2 linked regions of the Arabidopsis thaliana genome follow. The protein of the gene in region 1 binds, or shares a complex with, the protein of each later gene. Each region holds a gene or a part of one and is shown on either strand. Other genes may lie near its edges. A codon is read from its position in the direction of its gene.

Region 1 (3,578 bases):
CCAAACTTTAATCAGACCATACCTTCTTGTGTAAATACTAAATTGTGGTTCTACGATGAGGTAACTACGAGACTTATCACCAGATTATGAGTTTTTTAAAAAAAGAACACCAAAAAAATCATGATGTCTAAAGTCACAGTGAAGATTGTTAAATGTGTTTTATATTCGAAGTTGGTGTTGCTTCTGCTCCTCGTGGAGTATATTTTATTAAATCATAGAGCGATCATGCGTTACTCATAGAGAGCACTCGTCAACTTTGTATATAATATTACCATTCATAATGCACGTTGTGAATTGTGATAGGATGATTATCACTGCGTTTAAGGTTTTTGTTTATTTTATTTTATAACATCTAACTTTATAAATTATTGGTATGATGATCTATAAACAAAAGTATGGTGAATGCAAAACTTAATTCTTTAGTAATTTTACATGACCATTCTATGAGTGAAGACATTAAATTATAATTAATGTGAGCTAGCTAGGTAGAACCAAATAGCTGTTGACTGTTAAAATAAATCCAAAAATATCAATTAGGTTCGTCTTTAATGTTGTTTAACATTTGACAGATACGTTCGATATGGATGGATATTAAATGCGTTCAATTAATATTGATACTGGTTATGAACTTATGATGGTCGAACATATTTACTTTTGTTCAACCCAAATATCACATCAAATACGGGAAAAAAAAAATGCATGAAATAAAGAGGAAAAAACTCGTATAGTGAACAAGAACTTAATGAAATTTTGTTTGTCTGTAGATTGTTGATATAATAAAAAAGTAAAACAGTGATATTAAATTAACACATTTCGACTGCAAATAATTAGACTAAACAATGTAACTTAAAGTGCCTAATTATGTTGGCCAGGACGGCCTGAGCTAACTTTCTCCTTCCCCCTTTGCTTTGCCTTGACCTTTGTGGCTCTACTCGTCACAACGACCTCCTCCTTTTCCATGGTAACGTCTTCTTTTTCCTCCTTCTGCAATTATAAACACATGTACATATCTGTTGGATTCATGTTATATAATATTCCTAAAACATTGCTAATGACTTTTAAAACCAAAATATAATTACCTGATTCTTATTCTCATCTAAACGTAATTTGATATTTTTAACAGGATTAACTCAAAGTAAAAATAGCTAAATACTTTGATCATATCCTAGCTAACTCCAAAAGTATTGGAAAATATATTTATATACAAACGTTCATTTATAAATTGTTACTACCAAATCTTTAACATCTTTTTCATTTTTTTTGGTGTTCAAATAAGAGATTAAATTATTTCCATTTTTAAAAATTCCATGCATAACCGCTTTATAGTGTATACAGAACAGACATAAATTAATAATCTCATATTAGTCCAAAATATACTCTTGCAAAGCTTACCGGCTGTTTCGAAGTTCCGGGAGAGGACGTTGTCGGAGAATCTTGATGAAAAAGACCAAGGCATTTCAAGATAGCTCTGAGGGTTTGGTCGAGGCACTGAAGAGGAATCCATAGGTGACTTTCTTCGCTTCGTCTATCTGATTTCTCCATTGAGATCTGATAAGACAGAGGAAAACTTTTATTAATCTGATTAGTTTTGGTGAGAGGAGTGAAGCTGTTTTTTATATGTGAGTGATTGCGCAGAGAGACATCTTTGCCTTTTATAGTGGGCTAACTCGGTATTGGGTGTGACTCTTTATTACTATAAAATACATTTTCATAAATCTTGACTCTTTTTTATTTTTTGGTGAATTCATAAATCGTGACTTTTGAATAAGAATAACTAGTCCATTTTCTGATTCTTTGATTAATTAGTTGACAAAAAATAATCAAGAATGACATTCATTCACGCGTAATTATAAATATATATGATTTGTTGTTGTTATTAGTGAAAATAAGCATGTGGCGTTTGGCTTTAGGTAGGTTGATGACTCAGCTAATATTTTACATATACTGGAATAAACATTACAAACAAAAACGAAAACAGTTCACTCGTCGTCGTCCGATGACGAATGTTGGACTATAGATTGAATATTTAATATTTCCCCTAATTTCTTATAGGAAGTTTGGATCAAATAAATAAATTACAATCGAACTAAATATTTATGGTCATTAGTATGTTCAGAATATAAATTTTTTTTTTATTTTTTAAATACATTAATTTTTAAAAAATACATCAAATGGTTAAAAGTTTGTTTATTGAATTAGGAGAAAGATGAATGATTGACTAAAATACGATGCTCTTACTTCTTATAATTGTTTTGTTGTCTTGGATTGGTTCTATAAAGCCACGACGATAATGTAATTAAACAATTGTATTTTTTGTTCCCCTTATAAAACAAATCATATATATGAAAATTGGTCAACTCTCTCCAAATGAATAACACATCATCACACAAAAAAATGACATGTGTCATTCTATATTTTTGTATTGACTTAAATGACATATAATTTTTGTTATCTTTTTATTTTTTCATACGAATACTTTTCAAATCTTATTCAGTTGATATCAATCCAAATTTTAATCATAAGCCTATCACAATGTTGTTGAAGTACATAAAACAAGATTTGGTTTATAATTGAGTTAGGCAAATTTTAAATCACACAAGTAACATAATTGCTCATAATTTTTTCAGAATATCATATATTGTTGTTATATGTATTCATGAAGTGAAAATATTAAAATCTTATAAATAATCAATTTTATACATGAAATATATAAATTGATATTTCGAGTTACAAATGAATATAACCATAAAATATAATTACATATTATTGATATAATTTTATTAACAATACAAAAATAAATAAAGAATAAATATAAATTTGCAAAAAAACTATAAATGTAAATATTTTTTAACAATTTTCAATATAAACCCACGCTTACCGTGGATACTCATCTAGTGTATTTAAAGGTCCCCACTTGTCAGTTGTAGGAATTTGTTTAATACTAGATTTTAGGCGTTTACTCGTGAAGACCAGCGAAGAAGTTTATGTGTTTGATTGATCTAAACTAACTCAATTATTATCCGTTTAAAATATAACCGTACCTTTCACTATAATTTACTTATTTTAAAGACGTATAACTAAAAAAAAAAACGACACAGCAATTTCTTGGTAAAAATTATTAATTTTGAAATCAGCTGAAAGCTATATCAATCAATACACATGGTATTAGATTACTAGGTAAACAAAGTGTGGTAGAAATTGTCAAATCAAGTATTCAAGTCAGATTAACTTGTACTAGATATATGCATGCTTTGATCAAGAATAATACGTCTTCAACAATTAGTTCCGATTCAAAAGTATATACATTCTGGTCAATTTTGCTGTCTTGAAAAATGAGGAAACCAAAATAAACTACGTACGAGTTTTTCATAGAAGTTTGAGTAAAAAAAAAAAAGGAGCAATGACTGACTCATTGGCCTCTTGGATTTTTCGACTCAATTTTTGACTTCTTAATCCTCCTTATAAACTTGTATTGCCGCGTTGGGTACACTATTAGTTTGGCCAGGACGACCTGAACTAGGCTTTTCTTTATCCCTTTTCTTTGATTTGGCCTTGTTGTCCCTAAGCAACACAACGAC
Region 2 (6,523 bases), on another chromosome or scaffold:
GGAAGAGTTTCATAGGGTTTTTCATCCCATGGAGATTCATATCCTCTCCCTCCTTGAACAGCCATAACCACACAACGAGACAACCCTGTAAAATCCAAAATTTATCACACAAATCTCACTCTCTCACTCTCTTTTTGTTCTCTTTACATATCCAACAAGACTCAAATACAACATACAATCAACAAGGAAATTGCAAATCACAGGAAATAACTGAACTTTCATCTTCAACCTCAATTTGATATAGACCAAGTTACTACAAGTGTGCACAAGATAATGCGTTCCCAAAAAAAAAATTCAATGGAAGAAAGAAGAGCTTAAGCTCACTGTTCGAGAGAGGAAACTCAAGCTGCGGCTTTCCATTCCGGCGAATTGAGCCTTGAACCGCCGGCCTAAGTACCGGAGTCCGTATAAGCCAACTCTCCTGAACCGCCCCTATCTTCATCTCCGGCCAAACGAAAATTTTCCCAACACTTTTTTTAAAAATAAAATAGGAAACAGAAATTTGATAAACGAGATTTTATTTCACAAACAAACACGGTTACAATTAAAGGGCCGTCATATTTGGGCCTTCAATAAGCCATATTTTACATTATTGGCCCAGTTACATTACCGGTAAGCCCAGTTACGTTACCACTGATAACAGTCCTTTAGTTTCCTCCTTCTGCTCTGCACAAAGTAACGAGATTACCGAACTGAATCAGAGGAGCAGCTTCTTGCCAGATGTTTCACATCTTCCAACAGTTTCACCGCATCTCTCATCGTTGGTCTCATTGCCGGATCTTGCTGTGTACAACTCAGTGCCAGTTCCGTCACTTGCATCACCTGCTCCCTAAGACTCGAATCCAGAAGCTCGTCCACGAGAATCGGATCGACGATTGTTGTTACCATATCCTCCACATTGTTGTTGCTGCTGCTCAAGGCAGATCTCACCCAGCTTACTATATCTGTACTTTCCGGGAAAGATTTGTCCACCGCTCTCTTCCTCGTAACCAGCTCAAGTAACACGACTCCATAACTGTAAACGTCTGATTCTCTTCCCCTCACGGTTTTGAAAGCGTTTTCTGCAGTTTAATTGTGAAATTAGCTAATAAGAAACAGAGTATCTTCCTAACAGACTTTTTTAACCGGTAACTAACTCGGTTTGAACACTAAACCAGATTATACCAAGTCCACTATGTATAATGAGAAGATGCATTACCTGGTGCAATGTAGCCGGTGGTGCCTGTAACAGTTGCAGTTGAAACCGTTGAGTCATCAAGAAGGCGAGCCAAACCGAAATCCCCAATGTGAGGCTCCAAATCTGAGTCCATGAGTATGTTCTCTGGTTTGATGTCACGGTGAACAATCGGGGGATGGCAGTCATAGTGTAGATAGGCTAGTCCATGAGCGACACCAAGTGCTACATTGTACCGTGCAGACCAGTCTAGCACATTTTCTTTCGGGCTAACACCGTGGAGAACGTCGTAAAGACTTCCTTTTGGCATGTATCTATACAGCATTAAACCGTCGTCTTTCCTCAGCCAAAACCCTTCTAACTTAATCAGATTCCTGTGCCTGACTTTACCGATTGTATCAATCTCCCTCATCATACTCTGGTTAGCGCGGATGTGAGACGCGAATACAAGTCTCTTCACAGCGTAGACCTTTCCGGAGCCTAAAGAAGCTCTGTACACAATTCCATGAGCTCCTCTTCCAATGGTGTACTTTTCATTTAGATTGTCAGTTGCTGCAAGAACTTTGTTCAACAACAAAGATGGGCCTTCCTCCTGAGTGAAGACATAAGCATCTTTCTCTGGTCTTCCTTTGCGACGACGTAGGCAAATGAAAACAAGAGCAAGGACCACAACCAAGACTAATAAAGACGATAAGACCGCTATTAGCACGATTTGCCAGGTGCTAAGGCCACTCTTCCTGCTTTTAGATTGATCTTTACAGTACTTTAACGCGCTGCGGCTATTGTTGCTAGCAGAGAAGGAATGTGGAATGCAGAGGTTTGGATTTCCTGAAAACGACGACGGCTCAGATAACAACTGACCCTCCAAGTTATCTGGTATTGGACCTGTGAACTGATTGTTGGAGACATCAACATGTAGCAATGAGGTAAGACCTTTGAGAACCGATAAAGATCCTGTCAAATTGTTGTTAGATATGTTGAGTCTTGTTAACTTGATGAGATCTCCCAACTTGGCTGGAATTTCACCTGTCAATCCGTTTCCACTAAGGTCCAAGTCATAGATCAGATCCTCTATCAACCCAATCGACGAAGGAATCTCACCACCAAAAGCATTTCTAGCAATCTGCAGAGTTGACAGCTTCTTAAGCTCAGGCAAGAACTGTGGAATACCTCCTGAAAACCGGTTCTCGCTGAGAACTAAAGTCGTCAAGCCTTTCCAGTTACTAAAGTTTGAAGGAACTGAACCGTTTAATGAGTTGAAGCCAACATCAAAACGCTCTAAACTCACACAGTTAGATAGCTGAGCTGGTAGAGACCCTTCAAGAAGATTACGAGAAAGATTCATGTAACCAAGGTTTTGTAGATTCCCAAGTTGTGGAGGTATCTGCCCCGTGAATCTGTTTCGAGATAGGTTAATACTCGAGAGATTCTTACAGCTTCCGAGGCTGCCCGGGATTGGTCCTTCGAAGTTGTTGCTATTGAAATCAAGAAAAGAAAGACTATGATCCTGAGAAAACTCAGGAAGAAGACCTGAAAGGTTATTTTCTCTAAGGATGAATCTCCTGATGGTCTTACAGTGACCAATAGAAGCTGGTATTGTACCATGAAGCAGATTAGAACCCAAGTTGAGTATTCTCAACTTCCTTCCATGGCATAGATTTGGCGGTATCTCTCCTGTAAGTTTGTTACCAATAAAGTCAACCTCTTCTAAGCTGCTGTTCACACCTAAACCCGGTGGTATCGCTCCATAAAAGCTGTTGTTGAACAGCGTAGCGATCTTTAGCTTCTTCATCTCAGTCATTTCCACAGGTAGTTCACCAGTGAGATTGTTTTGATAAACTAGCAACTGCGTAAGACTCTGACTCTTCCATATCTCAATAGGAATCTCACCCGAAAACCGGTTTTCGAAAAGCTCCAGACTTTCTAGCTTCCTCAGCTTACCTAATGCACTCGGTATTCCGCCTACAAGCTGGTTATCGTTCAGCTTCAACAAGTTCAAGCTACTGCAGTTCCCGAGCTCTGCGGGGATACTCCCAGAGAGACGATTCTCGGAAAGGTTAAGAATTGTGAGATTCTTCAACATACCCAATGAGGAAGGGATTGTACCTGACAAGTTACCACTCACAATGACTAAAGCGTCAAGGCTACTGCAATTTCCCAATGCAGGTGGAACACCGCCTTCGAATTCATTGTATGACAAATCTAAAGTCAACAAATTCTTGCAATTAGGTGATCCGAAACGAACCGGCCCTTGTAGACTGTTGTTACCAACAAACAGAGTAGTGAGATTCCCCAAAAGATTGAGACTTTCAGGTAATGAACCAACTAACTTGTTCCTGTGCAAATAAAGAATCTGCAGACTACTGCTATTCCCAATCGACTCAGGGATGTTACCAGAGAACTGATTCGCATACATACTCAGCTCCACAAGCTCCTTAGCATCACCAATACTTTGAGGAATCGGACCGGTGAGATTGTTATAGTCAAGATATAAAACCTGCAGCTTCGGAATTCGAAACAAGGATTCAGGTAACTCACCAGTGAGGAAGTTTATGTAAAGATAAAGCACCTCCAACCTCTTCAAGCTATCGAGAGTATCTGGGATCTTATCAGAGAATCCATTTTCAGACAAATCTAGAGTAGCGAGTTTGGTACAGTTTCCTAAAGTGGAAGGTATAGTCCCGGAGAAATTGTTAGTACTCAGATCCAAAATCTGCAAGCTTTTGAGCTCCCCAATTTCCGGACCCAATTGACCTGAAACCCTAGAACGAGTGAAGTTGAGAGACGCAACATTCTTAGAATCGTCACAAGTGATACCGAACCAGTTACATGGAGTTGCTTCAGATGCGTTTATTTTCCATGTCGAAGTAACTTGTGGTGGTACTCTATCCAAATGCTTCAGAAGAGAGAGTAGAGTTAGCCCATCTGAGTTTAAACAAGAAACGGAAATTATGTGGGTCGATAGAAAGAGACAGAAGAAAAGCAGAAGAATTTTGAACAACCCCCCAAGATTCTTCATCTGAGTTTAAAGATCGAGAAACATGCAGAATCTCAATCAAGATTGAAAATTTAAAGCTCAAGCCTCATCAGCAGGAAAGAAGCTCGTATGAGAGAGAGAAGGAGAAAAAGGACAAGACTTGATTGATGGGTATAAAGTAACTGATGATTCTTGCCGTTTTTTATGACGAGATGTTTGGTCTCTCTGTATACCAACGATTGTGAGAGCCTAACCTTCAACGCGTTTTCTTTTTACACGCCGTTTCTCATTCAGTCTTCTTTTTTTCCGTTTTCAGACACACGTGGTTTTTTTAGAAACAAGTCGTCTCTGTTTCTCTTTGTCAAATTGTGAATCTTTTGAATATTCGACAACGATGTCGTTTTACGTCCGTCTGATGTAGTCAAAAAGAGTAAGAAACCGTTAACAATACTAAATAACGAAACTAACAAAGATATTTCATTAAATAATTGGTTGGTGAATGGTCAATTAGTGGTTAACATTCATTAGGTTTGGGTCTTTCATTAATTTTCATTACCAACTATTGAATAATTGTTTTGGAAACGTTATCAACGTGCCCTAAATTGAATACGATAAAATACGTGTTTGACATTCTTTTTGTTATTTGATAAGAACAGCCTAACCGTAAGCTACAGCTGACCAAATTGACTTTCAAACTATGACTAACAGACTATGGTAAGCTTCCGAGTGGGTAACATCGTAGCATTAGCAAATTTTGTTTTTTCTTATTGAATGTTAAATAAGAATTTTGTATATTATGAATTTGGATCTTATCAACCGAAACTTTTGTGTTATCAATTAAAAATGTACTAAGCGGCAATAAGAATGGTGAAAAGGTATACAACGATTTAAGCAAAGAAAAAAAAGAGAGTATGTTGTATAGTAAAAATGTTTGATATGATGTCACTGGAATACATGGTTGTTTTCCTTCTCTCTAAGAGTGGCGATCGGGCGGAACGAATCCTGAAAACCGGTTTCCGGAGAGAACCAAAGTGGTCAACTCTTTCCAGTTACTAAACTTTGAAGGAACCGTACCGTTTAATAAGTTAGACCCAAGATTCAGGTGACTAAGGTTTTGTAGATTCTCAAGTTCTCTAGGAATATTCCTCGTGAGCTTGTTCCGAGACAGATTGATGGTCGTGAGATTCCTACAGCTTCCGAGACTACGAGGGATTGGTCCTTCGAAGCTGTTGCTATTGAGGTCGAGAAACGAAAGATCTTGATTCTTCGAAAACTTAGGAAGAAAGCCTGAAAGGTTGTTTTCTCTGAGGATGAATCTGCTTAGAGTCTTGCACTGACTAACGGATGCCGGTATTTTGCCGTGAAGCCGGTTAGATCCTAAGTTAAACACTGTCAACATCTTTCCATGGCAGAGATTTCGTGGTATCTCACCTGTAAAATTGTTACCAATGAAATCGATAATCTCCAAGTTGCTGTTCAGACCTAAATTGGGTGGTATCACTCCATAAAAGCTATTGTTGAAGAGAGTAACGATCTTGAGATTCTTGAGCTTGGTTATTTCCTCTGGTAATTTTCCTGTGAGATTGTTCCGATAAACTAGCAACTGCGTAAGACTCTGAATCTTCCATATCTCGATAGGAATCTCGCCCGAAAACCGGTTTTCGAAAAGCTCCAGACTTTCTAGCTTCCTCAGCTTACCTAATGCACTTGGTATTCCACCTACAAGCTGGTTATCGTTCAGCTTCAACAAGTTCAAGCTACTGCAGTTCCCGAGCTCCGCGGGGATACTCCCAGAAAGACGATTCTCGGAAAGGTTAAGAATTGTGAGATTCTTCAACATACCCAATGAGGAAGGGATTGTACCTGACAAGTTACCACTCACAATGACTAAAGCGTCAAGGCTACTGCAATTTCCCAGTTCAGGAGGGACACCACCTTCGAATTCATTGTATGACAAATCTAAAGTCACCAGATTCCTGCATTTGGTTGAGCCAAACTGAACTGTTCCTCTTAGGCTGTTGTTTGCAACAAACAGATCAGTGAGACTCTCCAAAAGATTGAGACTTGCAGGCAATGAACCAACTAACTTATTCTTGTGCAGATACAGAATCTCCAGCTTGCTGCAGTTTCCAATAGACTCAGGGATTGTACCAGTAAACTGATTGTCAAACAAACGCAGATGAAGAAGTTCCTTAGCTTCACCAACATTTTGAGGGATTAACCCGGTTAGGTTGTTATGCTCAACATGCAGATAATTCAACACCGGAATGCGAAACAAGGATTTAGGCAATTCCCCAGTAAGAGAGTTGCTGTAAAGATACAAATCGGCCAAGCTCTTCAAGCTACCGAGAGTATCGGGGACCTTACCAGAG

What was found.
Region 2: the proteins of PROPEP1 (region 1) and PEPR1 are in contact, whole or in part, in a crystal structure (PDB 5GR8), measured with the Arabidopsis thaliana proteins. Residues at the interface, in NP_569001.1 of Arabidopsis thaliana: Lys76 (codon at 909), Gln77 (codon at 906), Arg78 (codon at 903), Lys80 (codon at 897), Glu81 (codon at 894), Lys82 (codon at 891), Val83 (codon at 888), Ser84 (codon at 885), Ser85 (codon at 882), Gly86 (codon at 879), Arg87 (codon at 876), Pro88 (codon at 873), Gly89 (codon at 870), Gln90 (codon at 867), His91 (codon at 864), Asn92 (codon at 861); in NP_177451.1 of Arabidopsis thaliana: Asp129 (codon at 3,809), Tyr153 (codon at 3,737), Tyr155 (codon at 3,731), Val175 (codon at 3,671), Tyr177 (codon at 3,665), Asp179 (codon at 3,659), Val198 (codon at 3,602), Glu199 (codon at 3,599), Ser201 (codon at 3,593), Tyr203 (codon at 3,587), Tyr225 (codon at 3,521), His227 (codon at 3,515), Phe249 (codon at 3,449), Thr271 (codon at 3,383), Asp273 (codon at 3,377), Ser275 (codon at 3,371), Tyr276 (codon at 3,368), Ala295 (codon at 3,311), Val297 (codon at 3,305), Val299 (codon at 3,299), Ile319 (codon at 3,239), Asn321 (codon at 3,233), Glu324 (codon at 3,224), Lys345 (codon at 3,161), Asp348 (codon at 3,152), Glu369 (codon at 3,089), Phe371 (codon at 3,083), Leu393 (codon at 3,017), Tyr395 (codon at 3,011), Thr417 (codon at 2,945).

Annotation. Positions count from the first base shown.
Region 1 is NC_003076.8:25,935,217-25,938,794, reverse strand, and holds PROPEP1 (precursor of peptide 1), read right to left. Parts: upstream 1,718-3,578; 5' UTR 1,543-1,717; coding exon 1,393-1,542; intron 985-1,392; coding exon 856-984; 3' UTR 619-855; downstream 1-618. Other genes in the region: PROPEP2 (elicitor peptide 2 precursor), read right to left, coding at 3,450-3,578.
Region 2 is NC_003070.9:27,482,183-27,488,705, reverse strand, and holds PEPR1 (PEP1 receptor 1), read right to left. Parts: upstream 4,467-6,523; 5' UTR 4,194-4,466; coding exon 1,199-4,193; intron 1,062-1,198; coding exon 685-1,061; 3' UTR 502-684; downstream 1-501. Other genes in the region: AT1G73090 (WD repeat protein), read right to left, coding at 1-85, 325-442; AT1G73066 (Leucine-rich repeat family protein), read right to left, coding at 5,125-6,523.